2 linked regions of the Lepisosteus oculatus genome follow. The protein of the gene in region 2 interacts with the protein of the main gene of each other region in a biochemical or structural test. Links are inferred from orthologs where the notes say so. Each region holds a gene or a part of one and is shown on either strand. Other genes may lie near its edges. The genes, in order: sik2a and hdac5.

Region 1 (12,000 bases), on a different chromosome or scaffold from region 2:
TTTGGCTGTGGAGCCTTGTCTTCCAGAACCGAAACGGGGGTTTCTTTTCTTACAGCTGACCTCGGGTCTTGACCGGAAGAAGGCTCCACAGCCGAAAAGTTGTGTTTCTTTTCTTCTCTTTTCAGCCTGCAATAAGCCTGTACTCGTTCCTTTGCAGCCCACGCATGCTGACGCAGCTCCCTACTCGAACTGCTACCGTATATGGTGCTCTTTGCTGTGTTCGTCATCGAGCCCCCCTTGTTCTTTTTGCTTTTGTTCAATAATTTGGGGTCACTGAGGCAAGACAGTCTTGATCTCATTTTGAAAATTAAGTGGCAAGTGGCGAGGAAAACTCTTCACTCAGGTTAGGTGTGGTCAAGCAGAGTCCTGTATTCGTGCGCATGGGGAGGATACAGTCATGCAGACCTGAGAGCAGCCTGCCATACAGATCTGTGAGTAACCTCTCCACCGAGATGGTAAATGCAATGGGTTTTATCCAGCCAATTCACACAGGAAAGCTCATTCCAAATGCCCAAATTAGGAGTTGTTTTTCTCTCTACAAACATTTCTTTGTAATTGACCACGTTATGCTTCAGAAGCAATTCTACCTTGTAGGCAGACAAAATGAAGTATATAAATACAAGGTGTGAAATTTAGCTAGACATTCTGCAGTTTCTAGCTTTAGCATCAAAACATCAAATAATATGCTTGCAATAGTTCTTTCATACTGTTGCTAGTTAAAAGGGATTTTTCAAAGCCAACTTGTCACTATCTTATATACTTACAAAAAGGTAAATGTTAAAATTCTTCCTCACAAGCAATGAAGGGACATGGCATTTGTCTGTGACCTGACATTTGAGCTGCGAGGAGACCTTGTGTTTTTTCGTCTTACTAACCAACCTCTCAAGGGTCCTAATGCGGGAGGTTTTCCCGATTGCATACTGTTTGTGTTGATGCTGTCTTTTCTTCATGTACAGGAGCCACACTGGTTCATTAACAGAATCGCACATCTTTACAACAATCTTAACATTGTACCTCCATTCCTTCACTTTTTTAACCAACCTAGACTTGACACAAATCACGGCTGGTGGCTGATGGGCGATCATGAGGTTTATCACTATGAAACTTATTTGGTTAAATCCAGAATGTCATTCTTGTGTGCATTTTGTCCGCGTTCATGCGTTTGTTTGGCCATGTGGCCAGGATTTTGGGCCAGGAGATTCGCCTATCCTGGCCAACGGTGGGAAACCCTGTAAGGCTCTGCTTTCTGAAGCTGTGTGTCAGTAACTCTTCACCTCACTGGGGAAGGGTCATGGGCAGAACTGAGGCTGGGCTGGTCAGTGTGTGCTCCTTAGGCTTGCATGTCTGCTTCGTACCCATTGCATTCGCTCACACTGGGCGGGGATCTGAGGTATAATCTCTACCTGTGTTTCTGATCTTTGCAGAGAAGGGGCCTGTCTCTACACCCACTGCGAATTCCACTCATACTGGTAGGTGCACTGACCCTGCACTGGGGGAGACACCAGGGGGATGGTGGGATAGCACTGGCCGCAGGGGTTGGCAGCTTGTGTAAAGACCTGTCCGTCCGTCCCCCCTGAGCTCGGAGGACCATGGCCCCCGTGCTTGTGGCCGGGAGAGAGGTGGGCAGTGTGAACCCAGGGCTGCAGCACATTTCCCCCTTCACTTAATACTCGGCCACACCCAGACCATCCACCTTCCGCCCTCACCCACTCCCTCACACAGGGCTTTCCCACATCCAGGGCTCCACCTGCCTCCGCGAGACAGCTCCGCGGGCTTGAGAGCCGGAGACAGAAACCTCTGCGCCAGTGGGAGAGCCAGAGACGCAGGGAGCCTGGGGCTGTGCTTCCCGGAGCCGGGCTTCACGTTGAAGTCAAGTGGCTGTGCTCCGAGGATCTGGCCTGGATGCAAAGCAGCATTCCAGCGCTCTTTAATGTCACTGGGGACATCTAGTGGGGGGCTGAGGAAATCGCAGTTTCAGTCAGCTCCAGGTCAGCTGGAGTCGAGCGGGGGTAGACATGGGCCAAGAGCGTTTTGTTTCCGTGTTTGTGTGAGTCCACTTTCTCATTTTGAATTCGATCTGATCATGTCCAACCCAGTTTAAATATGGTGATTGTGTTTATTCATATTAATATATATATTTATAAATTTGTATTCAGAATGAAATTCATGTTAATAACATAAGATATGAAAATATTATTATAGCCAGCAGCCATGTCACCCACAGCTCCCAGCTGGCAGCCCCACTGAAGCTCAGCAGTGTGAGCCTGGCCAGTACCTGGAGGGGAGACTCCTGGGAGAGCTGAGGCTGCTGCTGGGAGAGGTGTCAGTGGGGCCAGTAGGGGGCGCTCACCCTGCGGTCTGTGTGGGTCCTAATGCCCCAGTACAGTGATGGGGACATTATACTATAAAAATGTGCTGTCCTTCAGATGAGACGTAAAACTGAGGTCCTGACTCTCTGTGGTCATTAAAAATCCCAGGATGTTTCTCGGAAAGAGTAGGGGTGTTACCCCGGTGTCCTGGCAAATTTCCCCCCTGGCCTTTCCCAGTCATGGCCTCCTAATAACCCCCGTCTCTGAACTGGCCTCATCACTCTGCTCTCCTCCCCACTGAGAGCTGGTGTGTGGGGAGAGGACTGGAGCATCATCCAGGTGGGGGTACACACTGGTGGGGGTGGAGGGGATCCCCATGACCTGTAAAGAGCTCTGAGTGGAGTCTCCAGAAAAGCACTATATAAGTGTGAGGAGTTATTATTATATTCTGGGGAAGTTGGTTCAGCTCATCATATCCGGGGTATTTTAAAATGACCCAGTTGCAGAGCCCCTGGTTGCTGTTGCTCCAGTCTTATCCCTGTGGGGAACAGTGCCTCCTGCAGGGCGGGCGGGCATGCCCCTCCCAGTCTCACCACTTCCACTGTGAACTGTGGGGGAGATGGGAATGGGACGGGAAGGGGATAGGAGTGTTCACTACAGGAACAGAAGGGTCTGTTATCAAACTCCTTTTATTTCCTACTGCTAACAAACGGCTATCTGGAGAGAAAGGAGGCCACCCACTGGCTGCCGTGTGTTTCCAAACCCTTACCTTCTTGTTCTTCTGAAACGCTCGTCTTGCAGAAGCTGCAGCTACGTCTCCAAGGCCAAAGTACCCTCCGGTCACGGACAGGGAGGAGAAGGTCGACGTGCTGATGACCAAGTCAAAAGGTAAGGGGGCGTCCCGTTGCAAGGAAGGGGTGCTTTTGAAAAACAGTTGGTGCCAAGTGAGCTTTACGGATAACGCCCACATCCTGCCCTCGGCCTGCAGGTCTCCACCGACCTGGCCTGGACTGAAAAATTGTAATTTCCCCCCTGGTGTCCCCGGGTCCTTGTTGATCCTGAAGCTGTAGATTGACTTGGTCCATGCCTTTTATATTCCTGAGTCCCGGCATCCAGCCCCTTCTGTTTTCCTTCTGTAAAAGACCGGAAAGATTAAGCTCCTTCCGATGCTTCCCTCGCAGACAACATCCTCAACATCGTGTACATCGTCATCCCCACCATCCCCCTCCTGCTGCTCCTGCTGGTGGCCACCGGCGTCTTCTGCTTCCGGCTCTTCGCCAGCAGGTAAGAGGCCCTCCGCCCTCCTTGCGCCAGTCCCGCCCTCCGCCCTTGAGGTCCACGCAGCTTGGCGACCCGCGCGACCCCGCCCGCTGACCCCGGCGCCTGTCTGCTTGCCGCGCAGGAGGAAGGAGCGCACGGAGGCGTGTCACAAGGAGCCCACCCTGTGGATGTCGCCGGACCGCGCCAGCAGCCCCAGCCTGGACGTGTACCACGTCATCCGCAAGCAGCACGAGGCCGACCTGGCGGGCACGCGGCCGGACATCAAGATCACCTCGTTCAGGGGCTCCTCCCCGGCCGGCGGCGCGCCCGACGACCAGCTCTCCAGCGACTACGACAACATGGCCGGCAACACCTCGGAGAGCGGCTTCGCCACGCTGGCCAGCACCGAGAGCGGCTTCGTCACCAACGACATCTACGAGACGTGCCAGGGCCGCGGGCGGCCGAACCGGGAGTCCGGCTGGGTGGAGAACGAGATCTACGGCTACTAGGCCCCGCCCCGGTCCCCCCCCCGCCATCCCGCCGCCCCCCAAAACCAATCTGATCTTGCTCTCGCGTATACGGGGCAGCTGTCGCTGCGCAGAACTCCCTGCTGGCTCCGTTATCGGCTATCCTGCTGCAGATGCAAGACCTGGAGAAGTCTCCGGGTCATCGCCCAGAGTGTCGGCCTCAACAGCCCCAACAACCTCTGCCACCCCCACCTCCGCAGGCGCCGGGAGCTGTTCAGCTCTTCCGGCCTTTTTTTATCAACAGACCCGCCAGATCCAGACGCAGTCGCCAGCTGATGGAGAAGAGAACTGCTCCTGACCGGCAATTGTATCTCCCCGACTGCTCTATCCGGACTGGAATACTGCCCCAGAGGGAACCAAACACACCCATGGCTCCTTCGACAAATACTCAGCTGCTTCCGTCTGCAGAACACGGAGAAACCGTGCCAGGAACCCCCGATGATACAGTGCTGGCAGCCGCGCCTGCCTGGGTTTGCACCAGAAGGTCTAAAGACCCGCGCGTGCGGACCCCTTGCGCAAGCCCACTCCCAACTCCGGCCTGACGCTCCCAACAGTCCGCCGGTGCCCGACCGCGCGCCCTGCACTCTGGAAGTCGGAAAACTGGAATGTGTTTGCTGTATCCAATCATGTACACGGAACTGAAATAAACAATGAGAACAACCCAGTTGCCTGGTGCTTGTGTATGTGAGTGAGCCGCGTGCGCCTCTGGTGTTTTGCAGGGCCGTGAGTGGACGCCGGCCTGCAGGGGGCGGTGTGTCGCAGCTGACGGACCAGGCAGGGGACGTCGTCGCCCCCCCCCCCCCTCCCCCCAGATCAGTCAGGTGACGATGCACATCTCTTCAGGGGGCCAACAGGGTGGGTGGAGGCCCTCTGAGGAGGTACTTTTCTCACAGACATTCGCTCACAGACATTCTGGGTCATCGGATTAGATGCTCCACATTGATACCTCTGACACTCGGGCTCCTTTCCCCTGTTCTCTGAACGGAGTTGAAGCTCTTATCTATTCATTCCACAGAATGATTTAAATCTGAATCCAAATGCTGCTTCTTGGAAACTTGGGCAAAAAAAGAACACATAGGTGGGAATTATGGGGAAATGCACTTAAAAACAATACCAGGAGGCACTTCTTTCCTTACGCAAAGGATCGTGGGAGTCTGGAACAAGCTGTCCTGTCCTGCTGTTGAGACCAGTACTCTGGTTTGTTTCAGGAAATGACTGAATGAGGTCCTGGGATCATTTACTGTAACTACTAACTACCAGGTGGCCTAACGGGGCCGGTTGGCTACTTTCATTTGTAGCTGTTCTTGTGTTCTTCTGCTCACAGCAGAGCAGAAGGGATTCAAAAGAACTGATTGGGTGTGTTAGTGGAGAGGCATCACCAGGGGAACTTTGACAGGCAAGAATGTCAGTCAGTTCTGTTGCAAATTGGGGGGGCATTAACAACTATTATGGTCCAGTGCTTTTCAATAGGCTTGATTAAATGAATATTTAATTTGCACAAACGTTAACAGCTAGGGAGGCCCAGTGGCCCAGTGCCACTGCCTCTGCCCACTGCCTCACGGCGCTGGGGCCCTGGGTTCAATTCCAGACCCGGGGGGCTGTCTGTGTGGAGTTCGCATGTTTCCCCAGTGCTCATGCTGTGCTTTCCTCCCACAGTCCATGCTGGTAGTTTCAGTTGCTTCTGGGAAAACCGGCCCGGGTGTGAGTGCGTGTCTGTGCCTGTGTGCCCTGCGATGGTCTGATGTCCCCTCCAGATTGTACTCTGCCTTGTGCCTGTCTCTGGCTGGGATAGGCTCCAGCTTCCCGGCTGAACTGGAAGAAGAGGTCAGAAAATGGATGGATGTTAACAGCTAGTATTTCTACATCAGAGGTGATAAATACTAGGAACTGACCCTGTGTTCTAGTTTCTTCCCTGAACTGCATTCTTACGTAACTGAGCTCAGTAACTTGTCCATGTGGCTGCGGAACAATACACAATAAGGCGTCTGGGGGAAGTCACTCTGTGCCCGAGGCCGATTCCCCACATCTCGCCCCCCCACTGCGTGCGCTCTGCCTGCAGTACCCGCCGGCCGCCGGCAGGGGGCAGCGCTCCCCCGCCGAAGCCGAGTGCGGGATCGCGGAAGAGAAGACCCCGCGGCGGCCCTGGCTGTGTCGACAGAGGCTGCAGCTCAGCGGGTTGACAGTCAGACTCTACACGCAACAATAATGTTCGAGTCTGCTTGCGGGTCCAGGGTGCTATTCAGAGCGAATTAAAATTGCGTTCTGTGTTGGGGGAGACAGGCATAGATACGCGTGCACGTTTCTTGTTACATTGTTTTGGTTGGTGCTTTTCGTGTAGGCTTAGGATCGCAGGTAACTCGGAAATACTCATTACAGCGGCCTGAATAATTGAAGAATGCAGCAGAAACCTGGGGCGAAGCGCGGGGTGCAGGGAACATTTTCTTCTGCGTGCTTCAGTGCGGAGCACAGTACGAACGTGGCAAAATAAAATAAAAACAACACCGTATAATAAACTTCACCACGATAAACTGCCATTATAACACAACAGGTTGTAGCTACAGCGTTTGCGACCAAGACAGGTTGCAGCCAGACGGCACTTCAAAAGAGCGGGAGTGCTCGGCGGACACGCTTAAGATCGTCTACCTAACACAGAGGCACAAGGTCAACAGTATGTTAACAGCTTTGAAATGCACATTTTAAAGCCCTCCCCTCCAAAAACAAAACAAAACAAAAAAAGCTCCGAGCCGCTCAACAAAAGGTATTATCACAGCTCCCATCTGCAGACCCGCGGCGAGCGCGCCGGCCGAGCGCGCAGATTGACAGCTTTTAGAATAGCACTCGCCGGCGGTTGACGTCAGAGGTGGATCTGGTCGTCTTGGAGACGAATTGGCACCGGAGTGTGGAACGGCTTCAAAGGCCCGCCCCCTGTACAAATACCCCCAGCGGCTCTGACGTCAATGGACGTCAACCAGGGAACACGATGCCTTCTGCTCGAAGTCAGCCCGTGCAGTCTGCCCAACAGGGCTGAAACATTATAGCCCTTTTGTATTGGAAAGGGCGGCGTGACAGATTCCTGTCCCACCGGTAAATGTCCTGTCTCCCTTCGGCTGGACTGAGGACGCTGTCAACCTTCAAGCTGGCTCGGGAAGCGGGGATTTTACTGCGCCTCTTTTTAATAGACAGTTCCTAGCGCCCGGCTGGGTTTTTTTTTCCTGCTTCTTCGTCTTCTTCCTTGTGGCTCAAGCCGTGCGGTACCCCGCTTTTCTCTCTCCCCCTCTCCCTCCCCCCCCGACCCTCGACCCTCTTCACCCCTTCGGAACAGCATGGTCATGGCGGATACTCACCAGAAACCGACGCACCGCGGTCCGGTCCGGGTGGGCTTCTACGATATCGAGCGCACTTTAGGCAAAGGGAATTTCGCGGTGGTGAAGCTGGCGAGACACCGCATCACCAAGACCGAGGCAAGTACTGTGCAATGGACCGCGGCTCGGCTCGGGTCCGCTCGGGTTCGGCTGTCACGGCCCGGGCGCGGGGTCTGACCCAGGCGCGCGGGCGGCGCTCGGCTGCAGCGTCGTGAACTGAGCCGGAGCCGGAGCCGGAGCCGGAGCTGTGCGGGGCGAACTCTCGGACCGGGTCAGCTCGTACACTGGCGTGCTCAGAAACCCATTCACACCCCGAGCCCGCCGCCAAGCCGGGGAATACGGGCTGCAGTTTTTAAAGTGGAGCTGGGGGGAGGACTGCCGGAGCCGGGGCGCCCCGAAGCTGTGGAAGTGTCCCGGAGTTAGTTCAGGGCAGGGTGAGGCCAGCTGCCCTGCGGCTGCAAGCCCCCGGTCCGGGCTCTAGAGTCGGCGGCACAGCCGTGCAGAAGTTGCACGGCTGGTGAACATTTGCACACAACACCCCTTGACTGTCACGACACAGCGCCGTGAAAATAATGAGACATTGATGATGATAATAACACACACCGTGAAGTTTAATTTCAGACTAGGAGACTCAGCACTGGGAGCAGGTCACTCTCGGATATTCGTAACTGGGTTTTGCACGACAACTCGCAAAGATGAAAAAAAAAGGGCTGCGCTCGGTCCGCCGGCTTATGCAATGTGACAGGGCGATGTAAACAGCCGCGGTTTTGGGGGCATGGTCACTCTGAGCACGGAGTTACATAATGCTCATGAATGATATCAGGGGGAGAAAGCACATTTTCTGTCCCCCCAACGCCTGTGCTGGCGGCGGCGGGAGTCTGACAGGGGCAGCCCGGCTCCTGTCGGGGTGTCGCGGGAAGTAGCGGTGCCAGGGGCGGCTGCACACAAGCGCTCCGGCCGCAGGTGTCCTCTTATAAAGCGGCACTGGCGGCAGAAAGCGCGTTTTCCGTCTCCCTGGAAGTTTGTGTTTGTGTTCCGGAGAAGCCGAACAGACCTCTAAGAGCGCGCAGACGGCCGACAGTCGCACTGAAAGACGTGTATCGTGATTTCTCACGCTCCTCGTCTTGTTATAATGATCGTTGTTGTTCTGTTTTTGCTGCTCCGGGTTGCCTGCCCGGCCCCCCGCACAGTTTGTCGTCACCTGTGAAACAACTGGTCGTGTTTGAAGTTTCCCGTGAAAGAAGATAAAAATACAGTAAATACACTGAAACCCGATTGTATCACTGCAGTGGTAATAACAAACCCGCCCTAATAAGAACTCCGTCGTGACACCAGGAATAATAAAGAACTGTATTTATATAGCGCCTTTACAGGTGGCTTCTCAAAGCGCCTTTGCAGAACGACGACGACACAATACACAAGATATGCACAATGAGAATACACAGTGAGAGGAGACAGTAGTGGGGATACTGAATACAGCAGGAGCAGAAGCAGTTCTGTTCAGTCCAGTCCTGTTTAATTCATAAAAACGAATTAGCGTGATATTTAATTGCTTCTTAGTGTTTTTTTTTTTACAGTTCGGATAACTATAATAGACTATCAACCTTTTTTGTTCAGAACATGCAGCTCGTGTAAACTATTAGCAATTAATGGCTGAATTTGAAGGAATATTATATGTTGTACGTCAAATGTCAAGACTACTCTTGTTACACGTGTCAGCGGGCAACTGCAAATCTGATTATTAATTGCTGTCTTCTTTAGGCTAATGAATTTCCGTGCCCTGTGCTGCTGGCTGCACTAACAACCCCCAGGCGAAGCTCTTTCTTGGCGGCGTGGCTCATTAGCGTTCCCCAGGGCCGGGGTTAAAGGTCCCCGGATAGCAATGTACTGTAGGACCGGAGTAAGCTTTTAATTAAGAGACATCGCTTTCTGTATGTTTCGGGGTGGGTTTTTTTGTGTGTGGAGTTTTCCAGAGCAAGCGGCGATCGCCTTTTTTGTACGCGTTCTTACACTTTCACCAAAAGACGGTCCCCAACCCCCCGGAGTGGCGAAGGCAAATATGACCGTGTTGGGTGCGTGAATTTGCCCAGAGACGGACGACTTTCCTGCTCGGTGCCGAGCTGTGATTGTTAAGTGTCTGTCCTGTGGAGCCGGAGGTTGTTGACTTTTTCAGGTTTGCGGGATTAAGATTATGCTCAGTCGCCCGTGTCAGGATGCTCCTCCGGGCTCCCTGGAGCACAAACTTGGTTTAACGTCTGAGATAAAAGGTAGAGATGTGGGTGTGATTTGTTTTTGTTCCAGGCAAAAAACCGGTGAGATATGTTTTTGACGCGACACCTGGCGCGATTGAAGTGTTTCATCCCACAAGTGTCCACAGCCTGTAGCGCCTCCGCTGCGTCACAACCGCGACGTTACAACGGCCGAGAAGCCGCCGGCGTTGAAATGGCGGGGTTTGTTCTTGATAACCCAATAAATAACCTCCAGTGGAGAGCTTAATGCGCAGCTATAGACACTGTAAGGATGCAAAGGCTATTCGAGGAATGAGATCAAATTATTTTATTGCGTTAAACCTTAATTTGTGAAGCACGCGAACGAAGAGAAATAAAGGTTTTCCAAGGAATTCGTTCGGTAATTATCGTTATTATTATGTAGTTGTTTTAAAGAATTGTTTGAAAAGAGGTTGTTTGTGACGATGGTATTTTCTGAAATTGGCAGATATTTATGGAGAGAACAGCTGCCCCCACCGTGACTGTCCTGCTTTGCGGCCCTGAAGTATCTTGATTACAGAAGTGATTGTCTCTACCCAGTCCCTCCCCAGAGCAGTACGGTCGGTCAGCGGTCCCTGGTCCCTGTGGATCTGTGTGGAGAGGAGAGGTTAGGGAGTGAGGCCTTTTGAGGTAGCTGAGCGAGAGGAGAGAAGGGGTTCTGTACTTTGGGGTAGATGGGTAACCACACTTTGTTGTTGTCTGTGCTGTACTGTAGACACACAGACAGAGCTCCTGTTGCCTGTGCTGTACTGTAGACACACAGACGGAGCTCCTGTTGCCTGTGCTGTACTGTAGACACACAGACAGAGCTCCTGTTGCCTGTGCTGTACTGTAGACACACAGACAGAGCTCCTGTTGGCTGTGCTGTACTGTAGACACACAGACAGAGCTCCTGTTGGCTGTGCTGTACTGTAGACACACAGACAGAGCTCCTGTTGGCTGTGCTGTACTTTAGACACACAGACAGAGCTCCTGTTGCCTGTGCTGTACTGTAGACACACAGACAGAGCTCCTGTTGCCTGTGCTGTACTGTAGACACACAGACGGAGCCCCTGTTGCCTGTGCTGTACTGTAGACACACAGACGGAGCTCCTGTTGTCTGTGCTGTACTGTAGACACACAGACGGAGCTCCTGTTGTCTGTGCTGTACTGTAGACACACAGACGGAGCTCCTGTTGCCTGTGCTGTACTGTAGACACACAGACAGAGCCCCTGTTGCCTGTGCTGTACTGTAGACACACAGACAGAGCCCCTGTTGCCCTGTGCTGTACTGTAGACACACAGACAGAGCTCCTGTTGCCTGTGCTGTACTGTAGACACACAGACAGAGCTCCTGTTGCCCTGTGCTGTACTGTAGACACACAGACAGAGCTCCTGTTGCCTGTGCTGTACTGTAGACACACAGACAGAGCTCCTGTTGCCTGTGCTGTACTGTAGACACACAGACGGAGCCCCTGTTGTCTGTGCTGTACTGTAGACACACAGACGGAGCCCCTGTTGCCTGTGCTGTACTGTAGACACACAGACGGAGCTCCTGTTGCCTGTGCTGTACTGTAGACACACAGACGGAGCTCCTGTTGCCTGTGCTGTACTGTAGACACACAGACGGAGCTCCTGTTGCCCTGTGCTGTACTGTAGACACACAGACGGAGCTCCTGTTGCCTGTGCTGTACTGTAGACACACAGACAGAGCTCCTGTTGCCTGTGCTGTACTGTAGACACACAGACAGAGCTCCTGTTGGCTGTGCTGTACTGTAGACACACAGACGGAGCTCCTGTTGCCTGTGCTGTACTGTAGACACACAGACGGAGCTCCTGTTGTCTGTGCTGTACTGTAGACACACAGACGGAGCTCCTGTTGTCTGTGCTGTACTGTAGACACACAGACGGAGCTCCTGTTGCCTGTGCTGTACTGTAGACACACAGAGCTCCTGTTGCCTGTGCTGTACTGTAGACACACAGACAGAGCTCCTGTTGCCTGTGCTGTACTGTAGACACACAGACAGAGCTCCTGTTGCCTGTGCTGTACTGTAGACACACAGACGGAGCTCCTGTTGTCTGTGCTGTACTGTAGACACTCAGACGGAGCTCCTGTTGCCTGTGCTGTACTGTAGACACACAGACAGAGCTCCTGTTGCCTGTGCTGTACTGTAGACACACAGACAGAGCTCCTGTTGGCTGTGCTGTACTGTAGACACACAGACAGAGCTCCTGTTGGCTGTGCTGTACTGTAGACACACAGACAGAGCTCCTGTTGTCTGTGCTGTACTGTAGA
Region 2 (12,382 bases):
ATGTCCCTTGCTGCAGGTGACTGTCCTGGCCTCATGGAGAGCTGCCACCAGCTGCGCTCTCTCTCAGTAAGGAACGCCTCGACGGGCTGACATTATCCTGGCCTTGGCGGACAGGAACAGGGCAAGACTGCTGCTGGGGCTTGTTGGGGTTTTTTTCGCCCAGAGTTTCTGTTGACTTGATTCCCCTGCAATCGGAAGAACAGTGCCTGCCTTTCCGCTGCCCTGAAGATTTTACTCCTTTCCCGGCCGAACTCCAAATCTGGGAGACTGGCGCGGCCAGGCCGCCAAATGGCAGCACCGTGCCGCCCCACTGCCCGGGCCTCTGCAGACAGACAACTCGCTGCACGCTGCTTTCTAGCTGGGCAGGACGCAAGCACCCTGCAAGCCACTAGCCCCCCAGAGGCTTTCCCTTCAACCTCGCCGCGGGGCTTCACACCAGCTGGGAGAGAAAGATGTCTGAGCTCCCTTCGCATTTCTTCTAAAGAACAACAGGCATGCAAGCACACACACAGCCTGCTGTGTTCTGCGTGCTGCTCCAGACAGGCTGTCCCAAGATGGTTGAAGGTTCTGCACTCATCACTTGGTCCGTTCTTCCCAGCCACCCCACTGGGCCTCATCGAGAGAGTTTCCCCTCGCAAAGCCTCCAAACATGACTGGGAGCCACAGCGGGCTGTGCTGCGTCTCTGCCAAAATGAAATCAAGTGAGATGGCTGGGAGTCTGCGCTGTTTAGCTACTCCTTAATCTGCGGGGCATCGAACAGCTCGAAACAGCAGCCTTGCTTCCAAAACAAAAAAAAAAGACACCATTCTACTCCGACCACAATGTTAGACTGCCAGCCATGCTTTAAAAACGAAGTGAATTGATTCTAATTACTAAATAAAAACAACAGGTCCTGATATGCGATCATGCCCCTCCGTTTAAAGGGATGGGTCTGTATTAGTAGATATTCCTTTCTAACTTAAAATACAATTGGCCTTTTGCAATAAGCAGTGCTTCACAAAAATATACAGAAAGACATCACCACCAACAGCCAAAAGACATTTACACTGTGAATCCGATCATCCAGGCAAGCAACGTGCACAAGGCAGGGTACACCCTAGACTGGATGGCAGTCCATCACAGGGCACACAGACACACACACACTCACATCAGGGTCGATTTTCCCAGAAGTCAGTTAACCTACCCGCATGTCTTTGGACTGTGGGAGGAAACCCACACAAACATGGGGAAAACATACAAACTCCACACGGATAGCACCCCAGGTCTGGAACTGAACACTGTACCACTGTGCCTTCCCATTGAGAATCCACACACAAATATATCAATGGATTTGACATGCCTGTGCTATCTTAGAACTACAAGGCCATCCTGCCATTTACAAAGAAAATGGCTAATTTCATTATTCAGTTTAAACATTTTCAGATGCCTTTGCAAATGCAAGCCACTGAATCAACTGCTGTTTCACCCTGAGATGTTCCAGCAGCTGTCTTCTCCAGCGATAGTGTGGTTACTAGACAACTGCCCAATTTGTTTTCTAAGCAGGAGAAAACATAAATGCGTGATCTCAAGGCCGATCAGCATATTAACTTCTGCAGCCTTTGACTTTTAAGTCACACATATACAGACGTCAGAGCATCTGATCAGTGCATCTGTCTGCGGTGTATTCTGTACCGTGGAGCAGAGAGATCTGATTGCAGAGTGGACATAAACACTGACAAGAATACAACATTTTTATTGCTCTCTTGTGTACACAAAAACCCGAGATAGAGCCTACAGTACCTGCAGAGATGAAATTAAGGCTCCCACTGCATAGCACCGTGATCCACATACACAGAAATTTCAGGTTTCTAGAAGTGGCTGGCTTGTGCACAAGTGCATTGACAATGTAGATAAACAATGTGAAATCCATTTCTACCTAGAATAATATGCTCAAAATATGATCATCATGAAACACGAACAGTTACAGGGTTATATACAAGAGCGTGCAACTTGTTAAACCAGGAACGTCTCTCCCCAGCTATGCGAGTGTTTTTTCATCTCTGTACGCACCAGTCTCACACCAGCGCCAGTGAGAGAGACCTGTGCTGATCTATGTTTTGAACTAGGAAGGTTAACCCACTGAGACGCAGGTCCTGTTTACAGAGGGATCCTGGGAGATTATACTGCTGAAAAATATCAGTACAATAGCAGTCAACACAACACAGGACACGTGCTTAAAATCAAGTTACCAAGTAATCGCAGGAGAGGCAGAATAAAAAGATCTATGCAGACAAATAATCACGTAGCACAGTGTGTTTCGCTCCCTGCAGATGACGGGCATCCGAAAAAAATAATCAAAAACATGCTATAAAGTAATTTAACCTCTGCCTTGCGAATGCCTGACTTCTTTCCATCTGTAGTGTAACACAACTGCAAATCCAATAAAACACCAATTGGATTACCAGGATTTGAAATCTCTTTTCTTTATTTTCTGAATAAAGCAGGAAGAGGCACAGCAGCTTCCAAAGGACAGGAGGCAAAAAAACTGATCTCAGAGCAGAATCCTAGACTGACCTCTTACAGAGTCCTTTGCGCTCAAATAGAAATTCTTCTTCCTTTTTTTGAGCAGCATCTTTTGAGCAGAATGAAATGTTACTATGAAACTAACAGAACCATCCTGTGTCAACATGGACATGGAAAGCAGGAACACAGACACAACTAGGCTCATTCTGTACAGAGGTATAATATTATTTAAGGTCATAGCTAACACTACAGCAGGTACACTTCTCAATTCCAAACACACAGCATGTCAGTTTTAAAAATTCTGGAGGTCAATAAAAGGCATTTTCAGTGGAGATGACAATTTATTGTTCTGTCGGAAGCAGAATATACAGTAAGAGATTGTTCTAGGTGCTCCTAAGCAAATCTGCACTCTCCCACAAATCTCAAGGGCTATTTTAAACACTGGATGTAGCTGATCGTCTGTTTCATTTAGGACTCCTTCATTTTGAATCAGTGACTGAGTTAATATGTGAATAAATACAAAAATACACGGCTGTAAATACACAAGTGGCTATTTTTTTGGTGCCTCTGAAATTCACAGTTACAATGATACCGAGCTTGCCTGAGACCTGTGTTTATGCAGGATTTGCTGAGTGTCCAGAAAACACAAACCAGGCACACTAGAGGTAACGAACTTCTGCGACGCCATATCTTCCAAAATATTCCCCTGTCAGTTTAAAGAAAACAGCAGCACAGCGTGTCCACCACCATCCTGCTTTCATACTGCCCAGAACAGATTCTTCTAAATGACACTGGCTTTGTACTCCCCTCGTTCTCAAGTGCAGAAGTCTTTGTGAGACCTTGGTCAGAAAATCGGTGCTTAAAAAAAAACCTCGGAGATTCAAATTTCAAAAGAGATAGATACATTTCCTTGAAGCGGATTTGTTTCAGTGACCTCTACATAAACATATATTTTGCTGTGTTTTTGCATACAGGAGTGTCGTAAATGATTTTAATAGATGATGCTTAAAAACTGCCGGGAGTGGGCATCTTGCAGGTGTAGGTGGTCTTTAGATCTTGGGTTTGAGTCTGGACTTCGGATCCTTGCGTGTGGAGTTTACATGTTCTGTTTTCCCAGAATGGATGAATATGGCTAACCCCCTCAATTCATCTTCTGCGAGCTGGCTCTGAGCTCCTAACGCATGCACGACCCCCCCGGTCACGTCTGGCAATCCAGAGATCTAAAAATTACCGCAACAACTGAGACAAACAGATACTGACACTTGAAAATAAAAAAAAATCCACATATCATGCGGATAACATGCTCGTTCTGCAGGAACGAGACAAGGAAGGCAGAAATATTATTTGCATCCACCGGTTTCTGGTCGTTTCTCTAACACCCAGCAACTGGAAAAAGTGTTAACACTTCGATGAAGACACTGCACAGAGAACTCGGATTTATGTACCCATGACAAACATCATCTCAACATCTTTAACCACAGCCCGGTCTCACAGCAACTTGCTCACTTATCTGGTGGACTTATTTGGTCCACCTTTCTCACTAGTTCTTAAAAAAAAAACATATTTACAGTCAATTCATTTCCTTGCTTAGACTTTCGAGGGTCTCGGTCGAATATTTCTTCAACTTTTTGCCATCGCCGCCGATACAAATACGAGTCACTCGGCATTCGAAGAAATGACCACCGCACTGCCCACCGCGTCGTATTTAGCGCACTACCACAATTCTTTTAAAAAATTGCACTAATTCTGGAGAAGGAAATGACCGCTGTTTTTGTAACAAATCGTTATCTTTATCCGTGTATATCGCTGTCGGCAGCACCTGGGAAAACGCGTCCCCCCCCCCCCCGAATGCTTGTTAATACTCACAAACCGTGGTCTCGCTGCGGCCGTGAAAGCTTAAATGATACATTTCTTGAATAAATGCATTTTTTTGTAGCACCGACCCGCTTAGTTACGAGTACTCGCAATTGAAAAGAACGGTCCGAAAAAAATGAGTGTCAGTAAACAAACTATCTTTACCTGATGATCAAGGAGATATCCCGTTTGCCTTTCTGTAGGAGATGTCCGGATCTTCGACGGCGGATGCGCTAGCTGGTGTGTATTTTTTGGGGGGGTAAAAAAAAAAAGAAATGTATGTGTATTTTTTTTCCCGTCACAGCTCTCTTTCCTCCATATTGGCAGCTCCTCCACCAACAACAACATTCGTGACGTCACTCCCCCGTCACGTGACCCCCCCCCCCCCCGGCCGCGTGCTAAAAATAGACTCTGCAACCACTGAATAACCTACAGTGGGAAGATAACCCACACCTGAGTATGGTGGCAGACCTCGCGTCGACTGGCGCTCCTGACGTGTGGTCTGTCTCCCCAGTCAACGTCTGACACAGCGAAATGTTGCGCTGTTGACACGGCGTTTCGGCACAGGCGCGGATGCAGACCTCTGCGGCTTTTGAAGTTCGGAGAGAACGTTACCACCGATTCATGCTCGTCTAGTAAAATATATATTTCCACGATTGTAGCGCTGCATTGAAGGCAGTTGTCTGTCGTTTACCAGATGCACGTTCTCTTTTTTTTGTGGAAATGGAAATGGGTTTTGGGTGGAAATGAGTGAGCATATTTTATGCGTCACAAGGCGCGCTAAATATATGTTCTCGCAGTGTTTCTGATTTACAACGGGCACGATCCACTATCTCTTTTTCAGCGTTTCCCGCTGACATTAGCCTCATCCGCACTTGTTAGAACAGTAGAAACATGATGAGCCCGGTTGCAGTAGTTTGAGTTTTTTTCCGAGCTTTAGACCTTGTGCTTAGAAGTTGTGCGAGTTCACGCCAGTACCCGAGGATCTGTGTGGGGATATGCTGTGATTCGAGGTCAGGGATGGACTACTTTCAGAGTCATGCAATTAAATCTACTCCAATGCTCCCGGCCACGAGTCACAGGCCGGTCCAGGTCAAAGGGTTCCCACCTTGCTAAACTTTGGAGCGTTTCTGTCGGCTGCATGGTTGGACATAAGCCCACGACAGCATTTGTTAGTCATGTCAATCGGAGCGAAGTGGCTGAGATGCTCGCCTGTAGTTATAAAGTCTGCCGAGCTCCTGTCCGTGCAGACGGTCCCCCCGTTGTGTCTCACGTCTCACTGAGAGTCTCGAGCCGCGGCCCGGAGACCCCTCGAGACACGGAGCTCTCTTATTATGAAAAGTACCGAGGAGCGGGCGACGAATCCCGAGCCGGAAAACGACGCGCCGCCGACACAAGTTTGGGGGGGGAGAGGGAAAGGAGGGAGTTGTGAACATAAGTTCGGGAATGGAGACATAATGATAAAGGACAGAGGCCGAGAGAAAGCATTGGTGCCATCACTATGCGTTCTCCAGCTTGATGCTTGTTGCCATGGTTACCCGGGGCCGGGAGCATGACTGGCATTCTAAGTACCGTTGTGCAACACCGCGAGCCCTTGCCTGCGCGGACAGAGACACGCAACACGTGTTCCCATCATGCGGCTGTTAAAAGGGCCTTGACAAGCTCTCCATCAGCTTCCTCATTCAACACAGCTCAATACTCCTGCGGGGATGCGGTGACGTCATCCCTGCTCTTCAAAAGAATGAGTCACGGCAGCTTTGTGACGTCAAAGCCTCCTTTTAGGAGAAAATCGAAAAGAACATTAAGGTAGATACATAACTGAAAAAAAAGACAATTACATGAATATTTTTTTTCCTCTGGCAGTATCAAAGGACGTGGATATGGGATACGAATTATGTGCTAAGACAAATCAAATTATTAATCTTTCTAAAACCGTTTATTTAAATAATAAGTCTGATCACCGGAGTAGATTCAGTCTTCTTACACAATTCTGCAACCCAAAGTTTCGCGGTGAAAACTATCTCAAAAGCGCCTTCACGCTGATCACTTCAACATCTTCCGTGAGCGTAGCTACAATTCAACCCTCTAACTCGATATAGTGGCAGAAAACAGGGCGTTAGGTCAGTGCGGGGGGAAAGTTTTTCCATTATTAAAATGCATTTCACCCTGTTGTGCACGCAAAAGCGTCTCGACACTCTCTGCTCCATTCGACGAAAAAGCGTCCTGCACGATGCCCGTAAATTGTTTCTCTCGCACATACTAATGGTTTTCACCCATTAGCGTGGTTTTCCTATGCCAGTCTCTGTGGCAGGCTGGCCGAGATGAATGACCCCGCCTCAGTCCCCTCACCCACAGCGCTCCCGGACAGCAGCCGGCGAGTCAGGGATGAGGACCCGTCTCCATGGCGATGCGGCGCTTTTCATGCCGGCGGTAGCGCTCTCGTGCTTTGGAAGCAGATGAAGATATCTGTCGTTCCTTCGACTCGTTGCGGACGTCTGCTCTATGTATTGAAACAAAGAAGAGTAGCAGCCCAAGACGATAAATGACCTAGACTTCTGCAAGTGTTGCCGTCTTAATTATGTCCAAAGAGAGATGGAAAATGAACTATATATTTTGCTAATAAACTCTTTTGTTTTTGTTGATCTTAATCCTATAACTTAATTGTGTCTGGTGTGAACTCAGCCTGTGCTCCACTTTAACAAAAATCACGAAGTTATTAACCCCGAGTGTCCTTGAGAGTAGTCAAATCACCAAACCCACTTTACAGCGTTAGGAACGGTCTGAAACCAGAGGAGCCCATTCATAAATCTAACACGTCTGGTAGTTCGTAGCTCATCGATCCTCTAACCTCGGTAAAAGGACGAGAAGCTTTTTTCAGTTTCCCACATCTTGAGAACACTGTAAAATAGCTCTCTCTTTTGTAACTTAGTGACAATTTTAGCAATGATATCTCTTAATTTTAATTTAACATATATAATGAGATTCTCCTTGATTTGTATTGCTTTCCAACTTTGTCTGGAAGATGAAAATGGCGTGTCAACATTTACACATTCCTTTTTTTCCACAAAGCAGCTTTTTCAAACTTAATGTCCCTACTTGGTACAGTATTTAATGTTTTTTTGCTGCCTGTTCGTAATACTCTGCACCTTGTCTAACTTAGCCCCCCCAAAATGTTTTTGTTTGATCGATTTTAGAAGTAAAGGATTATCAGAAAGCAATGATATGAAAATGTTATATGTCAAAAATGAAAATGGTATATTTCATGATTATCTAATGTCTGGCTTTGGCACGAAGCCTACTGCTCGGGGTCGAGGCTAAATTGTCTGCATCGGCGGACACTTCCGACTCAAACAGAGGGAGGAGGCGCTATATTCGTAAGTGAGGGATGACTCACATACAAGTGAGTCAGATTTCTACAGCCAAATCTAAATGTCAACCCCCCATCTCCCCCCTTCGCAGCATTTAATGAGAAAAAATAGATCCCACACAAAGAAGAAAAAGTCACAACTACTTATATGACAGGAAATTGTCTTTGGAATCGAAGAGCTTTCTTTTCCATTTTGTATCAGATCCACGACGCCTCCCGGTGTATCTTTGAAAACAAAGAGTGTGGTTTGCGTTACACGGAGATGCTGGTGCCTGGATATCACACAAAAAAAGTCCGCCACCCCTCTGTACAACAATAATGTTTATAAAATGTTAATGGTACAAGACAAGGAGAAAAACACAAGAGCAAACATTTCTTTATCATTAGCGATCTCCTGAAATTGCTGTTTAAAATGTAGAGTTTTTTTTTCTTTTAAAAAGCTTTAACTGATCAGATAGGACGCAGTGATATGTATATAAAACTGTTTTGTGTGGTATTTATATGTTAGTGCTTTTTGTTCGTTATACACCGTGCATGTGAGACGGAAAACATGCAGATGTAAAACATCAGTGAGATTTCCTGAGAATTGCTGGGTTTTATAAAGCTTTGTCTCCCTCGTACGGTGGGACTCTGCAAATTCCGCGTGTGGACTTCTTGTTCCTCCGGAACTAAAAGTTCCTATCTTTGTTGCCATACCGGGGCGAAATGATGGGAGGGATGAGGCAGGGGAGAGTGCGTGGAAGGGAGGGAGATTTAATTTAATCCTTATTTAGTTAAGAGATTAAGCGTATTTCTGTTATATTTTGCTTTTGATCGAGATGGAGTTAGATACAGATATCCAGCCTGTTCCGAAAGGAGGGTTCCATTGCAACTTGTGTGATGTCAGTGTACCAAACAGTAAGTTTTGTCAAGTTTGCGCAGCACCATTACTTACAGAGCAGTTTACAGCAGTGGCATGATTGTTTGAGAAACAGAGTTTATTTCATTTTTGTTAAGGCGAATAGATTCAAAAAATGTTTTATGGCTGCGAAGGAATCTCACAGCCCGTGTATGATAAAAGTAAGCGGCTGTATTGGTCCTGCGTTTTCAGTAACACTGGGCAGTACGTGCTTTCCTCTTTCTTTAGCCTTTTTAATGCACGTCCGTGTGTTTGAAATGCATGCCCGTGTTTGTTTCGGCGCAAGGCTCCTGTTTCGTTTGTATCTGCACACGTTTCTGCTTATCTAGAGTGTAACGTGTGTGGTTATGCAGGGACAAGCCTTCAGGACCACCTGAAGGGCCGTAAACATCGGAACCTGTGCGCCGTCCGGGACACTCGCCGGACCCAGGTGGAGAACAGCGTGTTCGTCAGCGGGTTCCAAAAGGGGACGTCGCAGCAGCAGATCATGGAATATCTCCAACGCTTCGGACCCGTGTCCGAAGTCATCATGGATAAGGACAAGGTGCGTTTTTGTAAATATAATATCCTGACTCTCTGCGGTCATGACAAAATCCCAGGGTGTTTCTGGAAAAGAGTAGGGGTGTTACCCTGGCATCCTAGCCAGTCAAGGCCTCCTAATAATCCCCATCTCTGAACTGGCCTCATCGCTCTGTTCTCCTCCCCACTGAGGGCTGTACTGGGGAGTGTACTGGTGCTCTATGGCTGCCGTCACATCATCCAGGTGGGGGCTGCACATTGGTGGTGGTGGAGGGGAGTGCTTTGAGTGGGGTGTCCAAAAAAAGCGCTATAAAAGTGTGAGGAATTATTATTAACTAACTAGTCATCACTTAACATGTCAGTTTAAATAGAAGTTATTACAATGATGTCATGCAGGCAAAAGAAATATCCTTTACAGGTATCTGCTGAAAGCAGGAGTATCATCTGAACAAAACAAGAGATGTGCAAAAAGCATAAGTCTAGTAACGGGTTAGTTCATGTCCAAGCAAAGGGCATGGAATGCAAGGCCGAGGGAAGAATCTGTTTCTAGGACAACCGAGAGTCGAGTGTGGGACTGACCAGGTATGGACGTGGGTTGTTGTTTCTCTCCAACTGTGTCTCCCAGGGTGTCTATGCCATCGTGGAGTTCAGCGACAAGCAGGGCCAGCAGGCAGCCCTGTCTCAGCCCCAGCACAGCATGGAGGGCCAGAGGCTGCGCATCAAGCAAAGGGAGAGCAAGGAGTTCAAGTTTGTCCCCAAACGGAAGCAGGACGTCACCAAGAGCCCCTCGATGAACCCCGAACTTCTGTCCCATGCCCTCTGTCAGGCCAATTCTGTGAGTCTCTCTCTCTCTCTCCTTGCATACCAGCCGGGTTCCAGTCCTGCTGGAGCTTTTGTTTATTCGCACTGTCTGAGCTCTTCATGTCTCAGCTGGATTCTGCATCAGGCCACCTTAACATGATTGATCTAAAAGGATCTACAGTATAGTGCTATCTATAGGTACCAGTGTCTGAAACAAGTCTTTTTTGCTGCTCAATTATATGTTGGGTTACACATGTTTGGTGTTCTTTTTTTATCACATGATGTACCTTTTACCAATGCAGTTTTCTGGTTGGAAAAAAATGCTAAACCTCTTGCATTTAGATTAACTGTTTTTTTGCGTTGGATTTCACCAGGCACTTTCTCTTCAATTTCACAAGTGATGCTGATAGACTGTTATTCCAAAGCTTGTTTAACTCAATTATTAGTGCTTCAGTTTTCCAATTTAGGTTTGACTATGTTCTGTATATATTCCAGATATTCTACTCACTGGCTTTTGACCAAGTGACTGTTCTTTTCCACAGAAGGGATATGTCTTTAATGAATAATAACCACAAGTACACAAGTGTTTAAATAATTACAGGCAGTCATAATAAGCACCATAAACTCAGAGGAATTTCTCAAATTAGGGTCTAGTGTAGACTTAGTGAGAACTGATTATCTGTTCAACTGTATTAAACTGTATCAATACAAGAGGTATGTTGTTGGACTCTTAACTTGGGAAATTCAGAATCCTAATCATGCCTATACATGTGATATTATGTGTAGTCATTTACTTTTTATTCAGTACTCATTCATTGTAGCAAGAGGCAGTTAAAATGTTCTGGTGGATAAAGTCAATTCAGACACAGGCTATACTGCTCCCTTTTCAGCCTGGAAGTGTAAAGGTGTGTAGGTGTCTGTACATTGTCACTCTTAAGTCTTTGCATCCAATAAGATGGTGATTCTACCAGCACAGAGCTGTGCGCTGTAGCACTGGCTGAGAGCTAGACCTCCCAGCTGTTGTAATTCTGATTTGCTTTTTTAAAACCTATTCCTAGAATTCTGAAACTAGTTTGATCCCTAGTTGTGAGTCAGTTATTCCTCCATCTCTCATAACACCAGGTGAGTGGGCACCGCCGGTGGGGTGATCAGAGTCTACAAAGGGTGTGAGTAAATAACTCTGGACTGTTTGGGGAGTTGCCAGAGGAAAGGACAAGTTGTTTTTTAAGAGGCGTCTCGTGTCAGAAGTGCGGAAGAGTGATGTAAAGAGAGAATTAGTAACCCGGGCCGTGGATTTGCCAGCGAGGAGGGGTAGTGTGTACCGCATGCTGTGCAGATTATTTTGATGAAAGCCGCCTGCGTCTCCGGGCATCGGTCGGCAGAGACGACTGAGATGGGAGCACGTGGGCTGTGAGCTTGTGGTAAGGTATGACGCAGCTCCTGTTTTTCAGTCACCAGGCAGCGAGGATCTTTGGGTAGAGCGAGGTGTCGCAGTGATGCGACTTCCCTTTGCTCCTCTGAGTATGTTAGTCTCCCAGGCCTCAGACCCTGGGTGCTGTGCTGTGCAGAGTTGGTGTGCTGCAGTACAGAGGAGATGAAGCGTTCAAGCCTGGGGCCCTGCTGCATACTTTATACCAGGAGATCTGTCTCTCTGATGGATTGGCGAAGCAGAACGTTCAGCCTCTGGCCTAGTGTTTGCAAAGAGGCTTCTCCGTCACGTTTGGTTTGCTCTTTCATCATTGCGTCGCCACCTTGTGTAAGGAAACGGAGACGTTCTCCAGCGCCAAGTCCCGTTTGCCAGTCCCGTCCCTGCCCAATCTGTCCAACCGCAAAAGAGATACCATGTAAGGGGAAAGTCATTTTAAGAGTGGAGCTTATTTGAACTGGCTTACCAGCTCCCTCTGGCTCGGTGCAGACTGCGGCAGGAGATCATTTCTCTGCTTGTCTGCTTGTCCTGGCAGGTGGCAGAGCAGATGCAGATGCTGGTGGACTTGTTTGAGCTGTCGGACAGCGAGCGCAGCACGAGAGAGCTTTTGATTGCGCTGTTGCAGGAGGTCTTCAATGAGTTCTTTCCAGGTACTGCCTGCTCTCTGTCCATGGCTGGGTTTTCCTTGTGGTTACTCGGTGTTGCCGTGGTGTGCCACAGCTTATATTGTGTTTTACCATAACACCGGATGCTTTATTGGGAATTAAACTGTTTCATCTCTTCCTGTGACATGTAATCATTAATAATGATCTGATCTGTTTTTTTAATGCCAGCTTTAACTGTGCAATATGATACAAGAAAGTACGTGCAGCAATTCTTGAAAACCTGCATTCTTTGAATGCACCAGTTCATTCAAGCATAGTAGGACTAAAACCTTTTCATTACAGCTATTCTCATTCCTAGCAGACATGTCTGTATTACAGTTTTTAGTTTGTGTTTGGAAATGCACTTTGG

The links.
Region 1: of the proteins of hdac5 (region 2) and sik2a, one has a biochemical effect on the other in vitro, tested with the Homo sapiens proteins (2 studies listed by BioGRID). The link is inferred for Lepisosteus oculatus from reciprocal best matches to the Homo sapiens genes HDAC5 and SIK2.

Annotation. Positions count from the first base shown.
Region 1 is NC_090718.1:15,493,938-15,505,937, reverse strand, and holds the start of sik2a (serine/threonine-protein kinase SIK2), read left to right. Parts: upstream 1-7,049; 5' UTR 7,050-7,419; coding exon 7,420-7,557; intron 7,558-9,609; exon of another isoform or gene 9,610-10,086; intron 10,087-10,144; exon of another isoform or gene 10,145-10,355; intron 10,356-12,000. Other genes in the region: layna (layilin), read left to right, coding at 1,425-1,469, 3,111-3,197, 3,491-3,593, 3,712-4,078. UniProt on the Homo sapiens protein: Serine/threonine-protein kinase that plays a role in many biological processes such as fatty acid oxidation, autophagy, immune response or glucose metabolism.
Region 2 is NC_090723.1:7,409,229-7,421,610, forward strand, and holds the start of hdac5 (histone deacetylase 5), read right to left. Parts: upstream 4,722-12,382; 5' UTR 4,706-4,721; coding exon 4,523-4,705; intron 1-4,522. Other genes in the region: tut1 (speckle targeted PIP5K1A-regulated poly(A) polymerase), read left to right, coding at 8,543-8,621, 8,976-9,166, 9,767-9,976, 11,904-12,018. UniProt on the Homo sapiens protein: Responsible for the deacetylation of lysine residues on the N-terminal part of the core histones (H2A, H2B, H3 and H4).